2 linked regions of the Sus scrofa genome follow. The protein of the gene in region 2 interacts with the protein of the main gene of each other region in a biochemical or structural test. Links are inferred from orthologs where the notes say so. Each region holds a gene or a part of one and is shown on either strand. Other genes may lie near its edges.

Region 1 (3,653 bases), on a different chromosome or scaffold from region 2:
AGGCCAGAATGCCTCTGAAGAGAAGAGCGTTTTATTTAAGATGTTCTTCACAAAAATAACATTAACCAAAGCATCACAACAAAATCAACTGAATTGTATGTACCTCTCAAAACTGGAATTTAATCATTTAAAAAACAGAAAACAGGACAAGAAATTATATAATCACCATAGTGTAATATTTATAAAACATTTTTGGAGTTCCCATTGTGGCTCAGTGGGTTAAGAAACTGACTAGTATCAGTTAGGACGCAGGCTCAATCCTGGCCTCGCTCAGTGGATTAAGGATCAGGCATTGCCACAAGCTGTGGCATAGGCTGCGGATGTGGCTCAGATCTGGCGTTGCTGTGGCTGTGGTGCAGGCTGGCAGCTGTAGCCCTGATTTGACCCCTAGCCCAGGAACTATCAGGGTATGGCCCTAAAAAGATAAAATAATAAATAAAAAAAATTTTTTTTAATTTTTAAGCAACATTTATGACACAGCAACATACCAGTTCAGATTTGAAGTAGCCTATTGTGTTTTCATCCAATTGAAAATATCTTCTCTTCCAGTTTTTCATCTATTAGAGATGAACACAGACATAAGACTTCTGTTTCTAAAAGTGTCAAATGTTAATAACCACTCAGTTATTCTAATATGAACCCACAATCAGAAACGTCAAGCACTGGAAAACGTCATTACCCTCCCTCAGTGAGGAGACAGAGGACACTTCGTCTCTCTGGCTACTCAGGCCTTGAACTCCCAATTCAACTTTGGTGGTGGCTGGCTTTCAGAAAGTTCTTGTTTTATGATTTTATAACATGGTCTTATATTTTCTGATGCTCTAAACGTTAACAATAAAATAAAATAAAAACACTTCCCCCTCATCTCTATCCCCCTGCTTACAAAGTAAATGCTATCAAGGGTTCAAGAGCTGAGTTCCTGCTGTGGCTCAGGATCAGCAGCATCTCTGTGGTGCCAGGATGAAGTTCTGGCACAGTGGGTGAAAGAATCCGGTGTGGCCACAGCTGTGGTGTAGGTAGCAACTGCAGCTCAGATCTATCTGATCCCTGGCCCAGGAACTCCATATGCTGTGGGGTGGACAAAAAAAAAAAGTGGGAGATGTGGGGGGGGGCTAGTTCAAGAGCAAGGACAGGAAATATTAAACCACATCAAGCTTCTTTGTCTGTAAAATGCATGAATCCTTCTACAGGTACTTTATAATACTACCAAGTAGTAAGAAACGTCTCCTTAAAAGCCTTAATTAACACACAGCCTAATGAGAATACTGACTTTACCCACAGACATGCTAGAATGAAAAACCTTCAGCCCTCAAGCTCACCTCCCTTAGCCTAAAGAGGGTCAGACAATTTGGGCTGAAAGAACTCTCCTTTGGCTGACCTAGGCTAATAAGAGTTGCCAGAAGTGACGTGAAGTCAACTAGAACTGCCAGGAGACATTTAAGTATTTCTTCACTCACAGAAATTTTTTTAAATTTTATTTTCAAATTTGAAGCTTATTTTCTCATCCAAGTCTATGGATTTAGGAGTTCCTGTCATGGCTCAGCAGTAATGAACCCAACTAGGATTCATGAGGACGCAGGTTCAATCCCTGGCCTCGCTCAGTGGGTTAAGGATGTGGCGTTGCCGTGAGTTGTGGTGTAGGTCGAAGACATGGCTTGGATCCTGCAGTTGCTGTGGCTGTGATGTAGGCTGGCAGGTGTAGCTATGATTCGACCCCTAGCCTGGGGACTTCCATGTGCCACAAGAGTGGCCACAAAAGAAAAAAAAAAAAATTATAGATTTAGTTCCGATTTTAGAAAGGTACTTTGGAAACTTAAAAATCCTGGGAAATGTACCTGCTCTTCTCACAATTCCCAACCATGGATCTGGCCGTGTGAGGCCATCTGGGCCAACAGCTCTTAGCAAGGACCAGGTGCTGTTCTATGAGCTCTCTTACATCTTTCAAAAAACCCCTGGATGGTAGGTTTTATAATGTGATTTTCCTTAAAAAGAAACCAAGAGCCTGAGAGTTAGCAGCCCCAGGTCTCAGCCCTTTCAACTGGGGTCAGCCCAGCACCACATAAGTCAGTGATCCTCCTACACCCTGCTCCCCAGGCCCCGGCTTTCCTGCCATCTCCGCACCAGAGCTCCCCTTCCCTGAGCCACTCCCAAGTGGGGAGAAAGCAAGAGAAATACTTTCTGAAATAAACTTAAATGGTCAGAAAGACCCATTTAAAAGGTTAGCGGTAATAAGCACAGCCCAAGAAAATAACAGCAGTGAGTTCTGAACATAGAATAAACAAACCCCTAGTCTATCTCCTGACCAGAGACTGGTCAGCAGGCTGGTCCTTCACTCAACAATTTGTTTGCGAATATGTACTCATTTTTCATTGTTTTGCATATTTTATGCAGCTACTCACCACTGCTCCTTGTTTTACACAATATCCAGCTTTGATAACTGCACTATCCGGGGGCGGTTTCGGAGGAAAGTAAGGAAGATGGCTTTGGGACCGTTTCAGATTATTTCTGTCAATACTTTCACCACATTCATTTACGTCTTCTTTCTAAAATGAAGGAAAGAAATTCAACTCTTGCTTGTTTAGCTTTAAAGCATACGTGTAGTTCATATTGTTATCCTGGTAGAAAATTTTAAAATCTTAGTTCACTTAGAAACACAGATTTTGAAATAAAGAGTTTTCTAATTAATTTGAGATACTTAATCATAACTTTTAATATCATCAATTAAACCACAGATGTCTATTTCTCTTTTTCTGCAAAAGTCCCGCCACCTGTACTTTTATGATTTTTATTTTTCCATTAGAGTTGATTTACCGTGTTGCCAACTTTTACTGTACAAAGTGACCCAGATTACCCTCCATCACGTTCCATCACAAGTGACTAGCTATAGTTCCCTGTGCTATTCAGCGGATCTCATGGCTTATTATTATTATTATTATTTTTTTTTTTTGGTGGGGGGTGATAGATGGGGGGGGCTTAACTTTTTAGCTTGAAGTAATTTAAAAGATTCCTAGCTAACTGCAAAGAAAAAAACATAAAAACCAAAAACAGGAGTTCCCATCATGGCACAGTGGACACAAATTCAACTACAAAACATGAGGTTGCAGGTTTGATCCCTGGCCTTGCTCAGTGGGTTAAGGACCCAGCATTGCCATGAGCTGTGGTGTAGGCCGAAGATGCGGCTCGGATCCCATGTTACTGTGGCTGTGGTGCAGCCTGGCAACTGTAGCCCAACTGGACCCCTAGCTGGGAACCTCCATGTGCCGCAGATGCGGCCCTAAAAAACAAACAAAACAACAACAACAACAACAAAACAATGTGCAGGAAGTCCTATGTACCCTTCAACCAGTTTTCCCCAACAGGGAAACTATAATACACATTATCAAAATGGACACTGATACATTTCAAAAACCATATTCGCATTTTAGCAGTTTTACGTGCATTCACTTGTCTCTGCGTATGTATTGTTCTATGCATTTTATCACCAGCGTTGTGTAACACCACCTCAACCAAGTACAGAAGTGTGTACCGTAAGGCTCCCCTGAGCTATATCCATAGACAGAGTCTCCATCCCCAATTCCTGGGCAGGCACTAATTTCTTCTCCATCTTTTATTGTTTTGACATTTAAAGGATGATATAAATAGAATCATAAATT
Region 2 (3,753 bases):
GTTAAAACCCTGGGAGAGAAAAAAGTCATTCGAGTTACAAACAAGCAGAAATAATATTATCACTTACCTGTCAAGTAAAGGGCTCAGAATTCCTCCCGTGTCTCTAACGTCAGGTTCTGAGTAGATCTGGAACCTCTCACAAAGCTATTTCCAAAACAGGTGCAATCCTCCCGGGAGCATTCTGTTTATTCGGGGAAGCAGGGGCCTTTGAGCACTCGGACCCCGACTGCAGAGCCCATGGTTTCTGGAGCCTCTGAGAACTTCGGCCTCACTCTCCTCCTGGTATTCCTCTGGCCCCCGCGGAAAATGATTCTTGAAGTTGCAGCTGAGTTTAATCTGTGGAACCGGAGAGCTTCTCAGAGCCCCGCGCGGGGCTATAGCAAGTAAAAGAGGGTTACTTTCCGTGGGTCACGAAGCCGAGCGGGGCGCGGGGGCATCTGGAAAGGCCGCCTCTTAGCTGCGAGGAGCCCGGAGTCGGGCTACCCTTGGTGACGGCGGCAGCGAGGACCGCGGCGCCGCAGTTCGGACCCGGGGGCGGCAGCCCAGCCCGGAGACGCTGTCCATCCCCTCCGGTGCTGAAGTGCGGGGCCCGAACCCGAGGCCCGGCCCCGCGCCGCACTTTCCGCACCAGCGAATGCACGGGGCTTGCTTGTCTTCCGGTCTCACCTTCCTCGGGCGCTTTATATTTGGGTAGGGGTTAATTGTTTCTCCAAAATAATACTCTCATGCTTATTTGGTGGTACCTTTTCCGGACATTATCTGACGTTGGAGGTAGGAATCCGTGGGAAATCGGATTTGAGCCGCCCCTCACTTTTCAGTGGCCATGAACGAGTTTCCTAATGCTAGAAATGAAAGGAAACGCACGCACACGCGCGCGCACACACGCGCACGAGGCGGGGGAGCGGGGAGGGGGAGGGGGAGGGAGAGGGAGAGGGAGAGAGGGAGAGAGAGAGAGAGAGAGGGAGAGAGGGAGAGGGGGAGAATATAAATATAGATTAGGTACCGTGGAAAATCCAGAGCTTCTCTGGGTCTCTAATTACATAAGATCATAAGATGAAAAGGGTTATTTTGGAAGACTCCGCAATCCTGGTTACCGATTAGGGCAGCACATTCAAATTCTGAGCAGCCCATTTGAAATTCCCAGTTTAGACACAGCAAAGAGATCGCTGCTTCATCTGAGACCCTCCAAGCGAAAAGGACAGGTTACTGTTAAATAAGGAGAATGAAAGAAAACAGGAAAGAACAGGGCCTCGGCTTTGCTACCTTGTGAAAACGCCGCTGAATTGCCTGGAAACACTGGCCGAGGCGCCGAGGGGATCCGGCCGGACCCCGGTCGCCTGAGTGTCGGCGTCGCGAGCCTGGTGAGACAGCCCAGCGCGCCGGGAGCGGGCCCTTCCCGGGGCCGTGCAGGCGAGAGCCGGCGGCCGAGCTCCTGAGGGCGGCGGGAAGAGGCCGATTTCTCAAGGGTGGACCTGGGGCTGATAAAGTCCACGGTATACTCGGCAGTCCCCGCCCTTTAACGCCGGAACGACGCGCTGCCCACCGGTCCTCCGCCGGGTTTCCGCGGCTTCTCTCCCACTTCGCCTCGCTGCCCCAGGCCTCACCGGCCTCGCGCTCCCGCGGCGCCCAGACCCCACCTCCGCCGGCCGCACCTGCTCTCACAGCCGCTGGTCCCCGCACCGCAAAGGGCTGTGTGAGTGTCCCCGTGCGGCCACGGAAAGCTCCGGCACCCACATTCGGCAACCGGCGCAGACGCGCGTGGAGTGAGGCGGGCAACTGAAATGCACAAGGTTGAAACTGTTAGAAAACTGATCAGAATTGTGTCCACGAGGGCCCTCGAGGCTTTGCGTCGCGAAGGGAGAAAACGTAGTTGGCGCTTGGGGGGTCGTACCGCGGCCCACCTCTCCAGGCACCGAGCTTGTGGCTGCAGGTTTCTGCGCCTGGAGGTGGCTGGAGACTTGGGAGGTAATTCGGTAACAGCGACTGGGGTGCGGGGTGAAGGGGGTGGAGCGAAACACTAATTTCCCCGGGGCGCTGGGATGGGGGCCGGCGCGGGTCCGGGCTCTCAGATGCCTCTTGCTCGGATTTCGACAGCAGAGGGAGTCGTGGGTGCAGCGCTGTCCATGCTGGTGCCGGGGATCCGAGCCAAGAGACTGGCGCCGAGCGTTGGGGGCTCTCCCAGGACCCGAAGCGCCGCTGCGAGGGGGAGGGCGGGCAGCGCGGCTCCCACCGGTTCCCAGCAGGCGAAGCAAGACCGAGCCCGGATCACCTGGGAAAGGAAATTAGACGGGAGCGTTATTCGCCCCGAGAAGTCCGTGTTTCCCACAGACTTGGAGCCATCTCGCCGCCGCAGCAGCGCCCTCGTGCCGGGTGGCCCCCAGCGTCGCCGCCGCCTGGGCTCTGGCTGGAGCAGGCCTGGCGCAGGGCGGGGACTCCCGGGATGCGCGAGGCCGGGGGCGGGGCGGGGGGAGGGATGGGAAGGGGGCTGAGGGAGGGGGCGCACGGGGTAGGGTACACTCCAGGCCGCCCACGCTGGCAGAGCTGAACGTGGGAAAGTGCACTCGTAGTGGGAAGGAGCGGGTCGCCTACTCTGTCAGAGCTCTGCACGGGGTCTCGGGTTACAAGTGCGAGGGGGGCCTCTCAAACCGCGGCTGCCAGAGCGGCCTGGCCTGGGAGGCACGCAAAACTGCTCTGAGTTTTGCTACTTGGGGCGAATGTGGAAGCGGGCGTTTTGCTTTATGGGGAACGTAGACGGATGCCTCAGGATTGTGGTAAATGAAGTTTCTCTTTTCCTTGGACAGGGGTAGACAAAACACGTGCCTCTTGGATCTGCACAAACACGTTTGTGTCATCTCCACAAACAAGTTTCAGAAAGTGCGGGTGGTAGTAAACCACCTCCAGCGAAGACTATGTGACAAGTCGTCGATTCCCTTTCTCCGCAGAATGTAATAACGCTTGATGCAATTGATCACTTAAATTATTTTCTCTGGACGTGTAGAAGTGAGGATAATTGCAGAAATGAAACACACCAAATGAAAGAACCGCATTTAAATGAAGTGCAGATCACAAAGATGAGACTAATTAACAACATATGCCCTTGATTATTCAGACGTGGAGGAACAGATTCCCTCTCTGAGCGCTGGTTGACCGAGATGCAGGCTTTCCACCCTCCCCCTCCCACAGGAAGAGAAAAAAGAAACAGTTGATTACTTTGAACTGTCAGTCCCAGTAAAATTATATTAGTTTGATTTTTTTTTTGAAGCAAAATGTACTCCAAATTTTCCTCAAGTTGTGTAACCAGTTATGGAAATTAACAAGATGAAAATTAAATGCAGTCTAACATCTGATGCTACAAATGATTATAAAGGAAGTACATAAAATCAAGGGACAGATAAACTGTGATGGACAGGAAGTATTTTAGGAAAATCTACCCTTAAAGCAGTTTTTTAAAGTTCATTTTTAAAGTAAATTTTCATTCTCATTTTATCATTATTTTAAATATACAAACGTAGTAAAATATGAATGTAATTCATCAAAACTATACGACATATGAAGCATAATTTTTCAAAAGAAAATTTTGCACCCTAGGATGGTTACTATAACCCCTAAACTGGGTCTTTCAATCTGTTCACAGAACTAGGATAAATGCACCCACACACCCCAGCCCACCCTTCACAGTGTAGGAATCTTAGAAAACATTAGCTTGTGAAACATTTAGGAAACAATTTGAAGTCCTTTGGAGGAGGGAGTTTG

The links.
Region 1: the proteins of SNTG1 (region 2) and PLEKHA1 form a complex in vitro, tested with the Homo sapiens proteins (2 studies listed by BioGRID and IntAct, with this or other methods). The link is inferred for Sus scrofa from reciprocal best matches to the Homo sapiens genes SNTG1 and PLEKHA1.

The regions. Positions count from the first base shown.
Region 1 is NC_010456.5:131,998,831-132,002,483, reverse strand, and holds part of PLEKHA1 (pleckstrin homology domain-containing family A member 1), read right to left. Parts: intron 2,544-3,653; coding exon 2,400-2,543; intron 558-2,399; coding exon 489-557; intron 1-488. UniProt on the Homo sapiens protein: Binds specifically to phosphatidylinositol 3,4-diphosphate (PtdIns3,4P2), but not to other phosphoinositides. May recruit other proteins to the plasma membrane.
Region 2 is NC_010446.5:78,979,700-78,983,452, forward strand, and holds the start of SNTG1 (gamma-1-syntrophin), read right to left. Parts: upstream 2,418-3,753; 5' UTR 1,264-2,417; intron 843-1,263; 5' UTR 68-842; intron 1-67. UniProt on the Homo sapiens protein: Adapter protein that binds to and probably organizes the subcellular localization of a variety of proteins. May link various receptors to the actin cytoskeleton and the dystrophin glycoprotein complex.